Linked DNA regions of Neodiprion lecontei. The protein of the gene in region 1 interacts with the protein of each later gene in a pairwise test. Links are inferred from orthologs where the notes say so. Each region holds a gene or a part of one and is shown on either strand. Other genes may lie near its edges.

Region 1 (7,544 bases):
ATGCTACACTTCATCAGCGTTATAATGGAACAAAAAATAAACACGAAGACAAAAAACTGTGGCATCCGTTGGAATTGCAATAAGTGATTTTTAATTTTGAACCGAAAACAGGTAAATACATTTTTATTGCGCAAACAAAGTAAAAGATAGATTGATTTATAATTCAAAGTTAGAAATGAACGTAGTTTCTTGCGTTCTAATGTCATTCAAACATCAATAAAAATACCAACATATTGAGGCGCAGTACTATCTACAGTAATTATTCGAGTAACAAGTAACAATTGAGTTTCAATACATTATCAGATATGTGGCCCTTTGCTTTTGGTGCATTAACCCTGCCTAAAGTTGTGAGAAATTCACCTATTCATGTGTATAAATATTGAATTATAATTGTGAGTACGATATCTTTTATAGCGTTAATGTACGCTTTTAGATACTAATCCATGTATACAAAAATTGGAATGTGGATATCCTAAATTGCTTGTGCACACATGATAACTGATTTATATAAATATAAATATATTATACAAAATCCTTAGGCTTAAGCGAATGATATAATATATGTATTATATTATTACTATTATTATTAGTAATGTTAATGATGTATTGTGCAATGCGATATGTTATATTTTAGTTTGTTGAAAACGAATCTAATTGTTGTATACTTACAGCGTATACTTTGTCTAAGAAAAGCAGGCTACGCGCATACAATTGTATATTTTAAACAACCAACAAAGATGATTAGACATTTGGCTACTCCTGTGGTATATTATTATACATATATTATTATATAGCGTGTAAAATAGTTTAACTCATTCAATGTGTTTCCCTATGTATTACATGTATACGTGCAGGCTGAGCTTACTGTTAGTACATATCGTACTCTGCACTTTAGATTTCTACAAAAACGAGAAGCATAAACTAATTACAAATAGAAGAAAATACAAAATATAGTGCTAAATGATTATCTGTTTACACGTTCGGTTGTTTTTACAAATCAAAAATAGGTGGGCTTTAAGCTATTCAAATTTCACGTGTAACTACGTATTCATAAATAATAATTATTAATTATCGCATAAGATGTGAAAAGAGAAGAAACAGAAAGAATATTGTATGGATGTAAAAAATATATTATTTGTAGCGGGTCTTACGATGTATTTCAAAATGTTCACTGTATTGTGACCTTGGACGGGAGTTCTGTCCAGCTAATAGCGCTCATAGTAATGGTCAACACCGGATAATTATGCAGGATCTCATATAGGTCAATGTGACTTGATTGAAGATATATGCACTGTGAATGGACACAAGGTCACGGATGATCCCACTATCTGGCTCTGCAAGATTAAATAAGTACGGGTCCCTCTACTTGTCATGGCAACAGCTGAGTGTCAATGTATGTATAACACTGTTCCCATTACCTAGTTTGGATTATCGGATAAAATGAAATCGAGTCTTTCCTAGTATCAAAATTACATATTTGTTATTACCAAAGATGTTCATCTATCCGGTGATTGGTGTATAAAAAATTCACTTGCGTTGACACTGTTACGATGAGCATTCGTGCATACGTGACAGTGTGGATAATTGAGATTGAAATTTTTGTACGTTGTTCCTCTTTACTTTTTGCTGTATATAATGAAAACACATTAACATAACTCGTATATTAAAACATTGTTAGAAAGTCAACTGAAAACAACAGGCAATATTGTGTATTCTAACAGAAATTCAACGTACTTTTACTGGCCTTTTTTTCCAGACTTTCAATAGTAACAAGCTACTTCTTTTTCAGCTTTTTATAAAATATTTTTAAAATCTTCTATTCGATATGGCAGTGAAGATTCAAATTAAATGTAATTACAGTGAAGTAGAATAGTAGTGTTAGTCGTTTTGCCAGTCCAGACCTGTATTTTCAACTTTTTTTGTGTAACGATATCAGCATGATGATTGTCCATAGTTCTTCAAGTATCGATGACATTTATATTTATAAAATCAAGATATTTATCAGTACCAGAATTTAGTTTGTCATGAAACTGTGCAGTTTTTCCTGAGTATTTTTATTTTAGTTGAATTAATACATACATCTTGAAACAAAATCATACACAATCGGTGTTACAATACGCTTATTTGAAATTTACCTCGTCGATCTAGTTAAGTTCACTGTGAATTCTCGTGAGTTTTATATTTTATTCTTCTTAACCTAGGAACGTTAGCAACTTGATACCAAAACATATTGGTATATTTAGTTACATCTTGACAGTCTCGTCGGAATTCTGGTTAAAAAATTTGACGTGCCTTGCTAATGTGTTGCCTTTATATAAAGTTCTCATAGTAAGAGACACTTTTAAATCGACAGTCACGTTTGTTATTGTTGGTTATTACTTTCAAACTCTAGCATACAGGAAAAAATCCTATTCTGCGTTATCAACAGCTTTCGTAGCGTCAGTAAATGAAATACAGGACTCGTTTTCGTGCTTTGGGAAACATTATAATCTTTCAAGCTTGCGGTGAACATCAACCATTTGCGGCCGATCTTTAGGCAATGTGTTTGCGCACCATTTTCCTAAAACTATTAGATTATCGAAAACTTTATCTTTTTCTGTACCAGCGGTACTGTCTTTTAATAGACGTATGTCCTTTTCTTCGAAACTGTCCACATAAGCTTTTAGGAATTTATGTTCTGGTCTTGCGTTACTGTATGCTCCTAATCCAGTAGCTAATTCTAGTAATACAATACCATAGCTATAAGTATCAACTTTTGTTGACAAATTCCTATCGCGCAAAAATTCGTCAGGCAAATATGGTCTGGTTCCTTGCACTCGGCTTACCTGTAAAACAATGACAATTGTATATTAGTGAATTGGTTAAACTTAGTCGAACAAATGGGGGCAATTCTTTGTAATACTTTATTTTATCATATCTGTGTTCAATTATGTATTTAGTGGGCTGGATTTTTACAAAGTAGAGTTTATTATTTCGAAATGTCTATTTACATCAGGTAAATGATCGAACCAAGCACAAGTATCAAACTCACTCTGGTGTACATATATATATAGGCAGTACAAGAATACAGGTTTTGACAAAAAAAAAAAATGTCACCCCAAGACCTTTTTCACTATTTTACTTGAGCTTAACGACGATTGTATCGCTATGATTACACATCTATTCAACTAAAAATTTACCTTCATGTAATCCTGTTCAGGTCCATCTCTAGCTAATCCAAAATCACCAATTTTGGGCTCAAAATTTTTATCTAACAGAATGTTGGCACTTTTTATGTCTCCATGGATGAGTGGCTTGTGGCCAATAGTATGCAGGTATTGTAAGCCTCCAGCTGTACCCGTGGCTATATTATGTCGTTGCAACCAATTTAGGGGTTGGGATCCTTGTCTCAAGGAAAGTTTATCTTCTAATGATCCATTTGGCATGAGTTGATATACTAGGCATGGGGCTTCTCCGCCTATGCTGTGACCATACAGTGGCAGGATATTGTCATGTCTCCGGGCGTACAAAATTTTCAATTCTCTTAAAGACTGTTCTACCTGGATCAAGTAGCTTTCCTTCGAATCAGAACCTCGTTGTTCTATTTTTTTAATGGCTACTGGGGTGCCTTTCCATATACCTAGATTTGAGAAGTGTTAAAGTCAGTACCAGTTGACAAATTAGTTACATGATTTATTTTTAAAACTTTTTTGTAAGTTGATTTGAATCCTATGTATACGAATTTATTTTCTAGTAAAATTTTCAACTGTCCAGAGATCATTCACCTAAGAATTATCTGTTTTGAATTGAATTATGTATGCATAACACGGTACACACTGACCTTTAAAAACTGTTCCAAAACCTCCTCTTCCCAGTATGTTGTGTTTGCTCCAATTATGCGTAGCTTTTGCTAATTCTTCATAAGATGGTTGAGGTAGGTCGGTATCAATAAGTGATATCTTCAATTGATTATTATTTTTAGAACCATCCACTACAGGTCTTGGAACTGGAGCAAGATTTTGATTTACACCAGTTGGTACAAGCATATTATCCGAATTGCTTGGATCTAGATCATTCGGCAGTGGGAACTTGTCTAACATTTTTGCCACTCTTTCGTACATTGTTTGATAAATACAAAGCTTCTGCACATCGCTTGAAGCTGGTTGAATGTGATTGAAATTGTTAGTTCCTATTTTCAGATCTTTTGAATGTTCGTCAGCTACATGGCAATTCAATAATTGTGCTGAAGGCCTTTTCCGGTTGGTGATAAGCTTGCTGTACTTGGGATTGACGAAATTTTTCAGAAGTAGCATTGCCTGATGGTGTTGCATCTTATATAATAAAAGGAACAGTTCCTGTACTGTATGATTGAAAGTAGTCCACATTTTCAAAAGCTTATCTGTCGGATTTTCGTTCTTTCTTAAACATTGAACAGTAGATACATCAAATTTCATCCATTTGCCTAAAGAAAGACGAATATTGTTTTTCACTATTCACTCTAACTTATAGTACGACATGGTATCAAGTTCAGCCGTTCGGTTCTATCTTAAATCGAGTCTAAATTTATTGATACGCTGCTTCCGACTGTTAATAAAAAATTAGCCAAACCTGACTTGGTCCTGATTTATAGCAAATTTATGGGTAAAAACGTTACCTGCTAGCTCTTCCCATTCATTGTTCTGATTGAGAATTCTGCATAATTCTTCTCTTTCAAGCCAAGGCAAATCATCGATATAAAGATTAGTCTGTCCATGCTGCACAGCCATTTCAGGATAGTCGATGACAAAGCCAAAAGCACTAGATCATGATGAAAATTACATTGAATTAAAATGTGAGGGATTGTATTTGGATTGAGAAACTATCCATCTTTGTAACAAGTTGCCAGTGGGCAATTATTGGAATTTGGAGGCCTTATGTGCTGTTAATGCCATGAGCAATATCTGGTGCCAGTTTCTATTGTTTACAAACAATAACATGGCAAGTGAAACAAGATAAAAGATGGTTGTGTTGGGTTAGTTGCGTTGATTACGTAGGCGAACATGACGATGAACTGCGAAGAATCTCAACAAAGTGTCACAAGAATCAAATAAAAGTGTTTTGCGAGTTAATTACCCTAGAAATAGTCAGATAGGTTAGAAGTTCGCGCGACAGACTGGATTTCGTTATATGGTTAAATGTTTGAAAATAAATTTAATTTTACATTGCGTGTTTAAATTTTACTAATATCTGATATTATATCTTGCATACTAATCTAATAGAATTAACGAAATAATCCTGGTTTACTCTCACGTCAAAACATATTTTTTTTACCTTCCAATTACACACTAGACGTTGACTGAAGACAGTTAGTTGTGACGTCACGCGTAACAGGTTGCTATACAAATGTCGAACGTCTTCAGTCTCCAAAAACCCCGACCTTTGCAACTAGCAAGTCGCAGCCTGATTGGCTGGTTTCCAGGCAAGCGGGGATGATGAAGTCACTGGTTCTTTCCCATAATTTCCACAGTGCTATTTTTAGACTTGAGGAAATAGACGACCGCGTGAAAAACTGCACCCTGCAGAGATCATCCGACCGGTAACTACGCTGTGCATGCATGCATAAGTATTAGAGTTCAGTGAAAATCTATCAACTGTACAGACGACTGTGTGACGAAAGAAACCGAAAACAATGCATTTAAAACAGAAGTCAGTTTTTTTTAATGACTTACATAAATATTCCAAACTTGGATCATATTAAGATTGTCGTGAAATCGCTGCTTACATATTGTCAGTTTGCTTGGCAACTTCATAAAAATCTATTCAAACCAAGGCTTGTATGTATCAAAGCTGAAGAATAAAGGGAGATCATCTAGTGATCTGTAGAACATATTTCATCACAAAATCACCATTCAACTTTGAATTCAAATCAGTTCTGAAAGGCTTTTTAAGAAATGAATATCACGAACAAATATCACTTTCCTCTAATAGGATTTAACTAACTTAAGAGCACATTAGAAACAGATTTTGGAAAGTGGAAGATAAAAATCGTAGTTTGTTGTGCTACCGGAAGCCATAAGTATTCGTTTTCGTCATCGATTCTTATTCAATCTGCCAAATAACAAAAGTCTGTTCTCTAACAAAAGATCTACACGTGGATAATTTTTTGACACAAAATTTTAACCCGAACAAAACTTTTGTCGTTAACGGGAAATATTGTACGAACATATGTAGACAAATGTTTTATGTATATCTCAAGGTGACAGAAAATACAATCTACAAATGAGAAATCAGAAAGTGTTTCTTGAGTATACTATATTAAGCTCTAAGATAAATACGTATACATAGGCATGACATAATTATCTACTTGTACAAATATACACATAGTACATGTACATGCGTACAAGTTATGTCATCAATTTTGATCTATTGGATCTAGGATGCCTTTTTATCATCGTCATCTATATCACCATTTTCTACAGCAACTTCACCGTTTTGATTGTTTTGTAGTTGCGCTTGCCACATGTTGTGATACACTGCGCCGTACGAAATTAATTCGTTATGTTTACCCCTTTCAATGATTTCCCCATCTTTCAAAACTAAAATTTCGTCTGCATGAATTATAGTTGATAATCTATGAGCAATTATAATGGTTGTACGATTTGCACAGACGCGATTTAATGCTGCTTGAATTGTACGCTCTGTCTGTGTGTCCAAAGCACTGGTAGCTTCATCGAGGAGAACAATCGTAGGTGATTTTAAAATTGTTCGAGCAATTGCAACACGTTGTTTTTCACCGCCACTCAATCGCAATCCTCTCTCGCCAACCTGTGTCGAAATAAAAAATACCCATTGGTCTTACAGCAAAGCCTGAGATTTTTAACGAATATTTTAAGGAAAATTTTTTAGATAGCAAAACATTCTACAGAAATTTTGTTAAAAAGTCCAAAGATTTTATACAAAGACATTTTCTGTAATGTTGTTAACAAGCATTAAAGTAAGCAAACCATTGTTTCGTATGCGTCAGGGAAACTTAGAATTCTTTCATGAATATCTGCATTCTTAGCTGCTGCAATGACATCAGCTTCTGGTGCTTCAATTTTTCCATACTGAATGTTATACTTGATAGTGTTATTGAACAATACAGTGTCCTGCGGCACAACACCTAAATATAAAAATACGCCAATCAGATTACAGACCCAAAATCTTATAATGATGAATAATAGATAGAAAATCTTATAATCAATGTATTACAATAATTGTATTAACATAAGTACAATTTTGGAAATTTGTAATGTCACGACAATTCCATGAAGGTTTGTAATTCAAATGTCGTCTGAATTGTCTGAAATAGTTACCTATGGCACTTCTCAATGTATCTTGTCGAACAGTTTTGACATTTTGTCCATCGACTATAACAGCTCCTTGTTCTACATCATAGAATCTGAACAGTAATCGCATAATTGTTGATTTTCCTGCTCCAGATGGTCCAACGAATGCTATGGTTTTACCAGGTGGAGCTACAAAGCTTATATTTCGTAGAACAACTCTTTCAGGTGTATATCCGAATGACACGTTTGAAAATTCCA
Region 2 (4,604 bases), on another chromosome or scaffold:
TCGGTAAAATTCAACTCTGTGATCACTAGCTGTATTTCATGCTGCCTATTCTTTATTGAAAAATAATCAATATATAGCTAGTTGATTATGCTTCGCTTTTAGACTGAACTTTGCCAGTGTAGCATCAACGGAGCTGAGAGTAGATCTAGACTGAGCTGTAGTAATATCACTGTAATATCAAACTATGTAGTAAGGAATAGTCCGGTTTGCCTAATAAACCTATATTGTATTCCCTGGCATGTAAATCTCATTATTACTTTTCAACTGTCTTTGAAATTTATATTCTCAATGCTAAGCAGATTTTTTTACTCTTATATGGTTTAACTTCAAAGAAAACAGCATATCTATACTCACTGACATCACTTATGTTTATATTTCCATCCGAAACTCCATGGGTCTGTTCCATACCTTTAGCTAGTTGATAGTCAGTTTTATTGGCATCTGAAACAAGAATAAATTGCGTCTTCATTAGCAACAAAAAATGTTTGGTTACAGATTGGAGGAAGCAAATGCATGGAATAAAAGTAGGAGGTAAAATTTTTCATGCGTGTCGTTCATTCCATGCAAGACAGATCAGTCACTTTACGGATGTTCCTTTAACTTTGTATGTCGATATTCCTCAGAAAATTACATTTTTGTACTAAACACGTTTCACAGGTAATTATGTAAGGATCATCGAGTAATTTGCTATCAAATATTTCTATAATTTCATTGATAAATTCATTACTCTATCATCGATTGTGATAGATGAAAATTTTTTCATTCAATAGATGTCGCAAGAGATACAGATGTGTTAAAAAAATATAAAATATTGGACAAATTGTTTTTAATCTTTTGTCACCAATAATTTCTCAAAGGTTCTTCAAAAATTGCTTCGAATGGTCAAAATTTTGAAAAGAAAATTATGTATAGTCCCTAATGTGTGATGTATCGAGGGAAGAACAGCTAGAGACATATTTAGAGTTCAAAGGCTTTATTCTTGCTGCTAATACTGAGCGCCGGGGTCGAACCTCACTCCTTATTTACCGCTCTTATATACTCTTATTACATATAATTGTACGCATATACTACAAGTGTAGTGCTGCATGTGAAACGATTTGAATGTTTTGCCACGTCTTTACAAAAAAATCTTTAAGTTTATGGTGTGTACAAAGTGGTATCGTTTAAACTCAAGGTAGAGTAGTGGCATCTCGACAAGACACTCCGCAAAATATATCTGTCTTTTTTCGAATTTTTATTTACCACCCAGGCAATGTTTTAAAAAATGCCGAAGAATTAATTCTTCTTATCTGAACACTTTAAAAATTCAGTGTTTCCATACGATCTATTTTTATCTTCTTACACTGCAATTCTTTTGTCACCTGTGTTAAGAGAGAGAACAATTCTTCACGGACTTGACATTTATAAAGATACAGTAATGAAATATTTATCAAAACTTTCTACAAAGATATCCGAGAGGTGACGGATATGTCTCGTGCTGAATGTCCCAGACGTCTAGGCGCTTATGCCAAAAAGACGTTGAATTATAAATGGGCGATGTGCGGAGAAAGTATTGAACTGTTAAAGCGTGAACGCAATGTGAGATACTGTTTCAAAATTTACCAGCTGTTGATGCAGAAATTACCATTTTTCTGTATTTTTTATATTTTTGTGAGATCGAAATGATTTTAAATGCCAATCACCATCGTTGTTTCATTGAAGAAGCAAGAATGAGAACGAGAGAAAATACATCTCATGTAGGTGTGTAATCATAATTTGCTTTCCTGAACTCTGGAAATAACGCTGTAAGAGCGATGGAACAGATCGAGTTTGATTTACAGGGAAATCGATTATTACCATTATTGTTTAAGTATAATAAACAGAATCGAGGATCTTATCCTCCAACCACCAAAGAAGTCTAAATATATAATAAGAGTTACGAAATTTATAATGGAAATATATATTTCTCGATTCATTGAACCGATTCCGGTTTGAACCGAGGCCACGCTTCATGCTGGTAATAACAGCACCGTTTCTAGTAATCTATATTTTTGTGTCGGTCAAATTTTATGTGAAAGAAATTCTAATGCCTATGTTGTACGTAGTATTACTACGAGAAATAAAACTGAATGAAATGGCGCTACTTTGTCCTACTTCAATGAAAATTTTACACTAGTGAGTTTTTATGATTTATATCAAGTCGAGCCAATCTATGCTACTAGCCTAAATCTAGAAAGAGTGTCTAACTTGGCAGCGTGGCTATGAGGAAAGAGTACGGCAGCTTGAGGTGAACTAGAGGAATGGTTTATCACACATCAGAGATAAACCAAGAAGGAAAAACAGAGCGAGGTAGAGAGATTAAGACAATGCGTGGCGGAGGTTGTCGCAGGACTTGGAGATGGAATGGAACGAGGTAAAGGATGACACTGCAATGGGGAGAAATTAGTAATTGAACAGCTGTTCGAAAATAACCTTTAAGTTAAAAAAAAAAAAGAGAAACAGTTTTGGTCTATAAATTTTTTACGGATGAGAAACGGAGTTCTGGAATAGTGAAAAGATTGTCGAGGTGGTTCTGACTTGGTTACTGTATTCCGGGCGATTCCGGGAGTTTGGGAGGCGCAACGCTGATCGAATCATTATTTTTGGAGAGCCTAGGTCTCCCCAGCTATAATTAAACTATCGTAGGACAATGTGATACTCGCCTGTTCGAGGCCCATGTTATGGTACTGAGATCGACGGAGATGGTGCGCGACGAGGAAAGTTGTTCCGTACTGACTCCTGTCAAGGCCTTACCCGGGAACAACTGGTTTTATGTGTAAAATATTACCACTTGACAGAGCACGCTGCTCAGATATCACATTGCCACCTTATTTCAGGGTACTAACACCGTACCGATTTTATCCGGAGGTAAACTTTCACGCTCGAGCACTCGACACCAACCCCCTTCGTCACAAATAGCGAAGGAAAATTATTTTTGGCAAAGATGACAACATTTTTCGGGGAAGCGAATCGAACTTCTCACCATTGGCTGAAACGTGTCACGTGACCATACTAACCTCGCGCAGCTTATGCTACGATATACTGCGCGCCTCGTGACAAACATGGCCGACTCGCGCCGTTTCATTCAAACTTTCGAATTTCTGTTCGACGCAATTTTCGTTTATTTTGTATGAAATAATACATCTTTCGTGTCATACGTATCAAAGTATTTGCCCGTCAAGTTTGCTACTCAGTTTCCGGAATTTTTTTTATGTGTATTCTTAAAAATGATCTTGAAAACTGTTATCTAAATGGAAAAATATACCACAATCACACGTTTAAAGTAGACCAACATTTTTTCACGATCCCGAATCTAGTTCGCTCTGCGATCGTAGCTAATTATATACTCCAGCGAACGGCTAAAGAGTTTGAAAATGATGGCAGGCTCGAAAAATTTGACATTCCGCAAATAGTAGCGAGGTAAGGAAACGTGTAGGTTCGAGATATGAAAGCGGGAATCATGCCGAAACCAGTAAGAGTGTGAAAATATTTTCGGACGCATCTTTCATTTGTTAAGTAGTGAGTTGTTTTTATCCATCCCCTTGGCAAAATAATAAATAATAAACAATCAGCAACAGTTTTAGCAAATATAATTTTAACTGTCTTTGAAATTTGGTAAGATGCTGAGTCAATCGTCATGGGCGAATAATCGCCAAAGGTATGGTGGGTACTCGTTGAGAGGCCAAAGAAACATTCATTATCCCCCGCCTCCCTCATACGTAAGAGGTCCCCGACGGGGACCCGTTTCCGGACCGATTAGAAACCCCATTAATTCCTACCGCAACATCCCGGTATCAATACAAGGCAACATTACCAAGAAGACTGCCGTCTTTAGCTCAAACAACTCAAAGACAGCATGCATCATACCGAATACCCCAAAGTCTTCTTGTAAGAAGAGCTTTTCTATGGTCGATCTGTCACCCACGTCCATCAATCCGGATGTTCTTGACCTAAGGTAAAGAATGAGCTGGTCAAAATGTTTATAAAATAATCGTTACAAGATTTGGAAGTTCAAGTGATCAAGTTGAAAGTTTGACTCGGGCAATAATCTTGAAATCGAAATCAGCAATGCCTGTATTGAAAAAAATTATTTCTGCGCGATGTTCATCATTTTCTAAATTTGAACATTCAAACGGCGCTATAAATTTATTGTGATTTTTTACTTTGGTCAGGTCTGGGAGTGCCACTTCTTTGCAGTCACGTCTGCAACGGAAAGTAGCTGCAACTGATTCGACAAGCTCTGAGGTACCATGCGTTGATGGGGCTGAAACTGGGAGTGAAAGAGGGATGGGATCATGGCCGGGAGATTTGGATGTCAACGGACTCTCGGCTCCACCGGATACGAACAAGGCAGCGGGTCTCGTCTGTCGCGCTTTGGTTGTAAACGCCTGGCGTCGTAGACGTGAGGAGAATTTGCAACTGCATGAAACGATTCGCCAGCTTAGCCAGCAGGTCGACCATCTTCACATCCAGATCGTCGTGCTGCGACGACTTTTGGATGCCGAAAATGGTCGTGTCGGAAGATTTATGGCTGAGATGCAGCGTGTTCGAGTCCAGTTTGATGACATTGCTCGCGACAGAGATTC

The links. The genes of interacting proteins can lie anywhere in the genome.
Region 2: the proteins of pelle-like serine/threonine-protein kinase pik-1 (region 1) and embryonic polarity protein dorsal interact in a two-hybrid assay, tested with the Drosophila melanogaster proteins (2 studies listed by BioGRID). The link is inferred for Neodiprion lecontei from reciprocal best matches to the Drosophila melanogaster genes pll and dl.

What each region holds. Positions count from the first base shown.
Region 1 is NC_060265.1:9,923,120-9,930,663, reverse strand, and holds pelle-like serine/threonine-protein kinase pik-1, read right to left. Parts: upstream 6,030-7,544; 5' UTR 5,290-6,029; intron 5,284-5,289; exon of another isoform or gene 5,092-5,283; intron 4,777-5,091; 5' UTR 4,746-4,776; coding exon 4,634-4,745; intron 4,442-4,633; coding exon 3,821-4,441; intron 3,620-3,820; coding exon 3,180-3,619; intron 2,826-3,179; coding exon 2,484-2,825; 3' UTR 135-2,483; downstream 1-134. Other genes in the region: ATP-binding cassette sub-family B member 6, read right to left, coding at 6,391-6,783, 6,963-7,120, 7,314-7,544. UniProt on the Drosophila melanogaster protein: Plays an essential role in the Tl receptor signaling pathway that establishes embryonic dorsoventral polarity; the signal directs import of dl into ventral and ventrolateral nuclei, thereby establishing dorsoventral polarity.
Region 2 is NC_060262.1:41,744,412-41,749,015, reverse strand, and holds the start of embryonic polarity protein dorsal, read right to left. Parts: upstream 3,007-4,604; 5' UTR 2,682-3,006; intron 442-2,681; 5' UTR 407-441; coding exon 355-406; intron 1-354. Other genes in the region: uncharacterized protein LOC107224268, read left to right, coding at 3,639-3,973, 4,191-4,604. UniProt on the Drosophila melanogaster protein: Embryonic developmental transcription factor. The lateral or ventral identity of a cell depends upon the concentration of this protein in its nucleus during the blastoderm stage.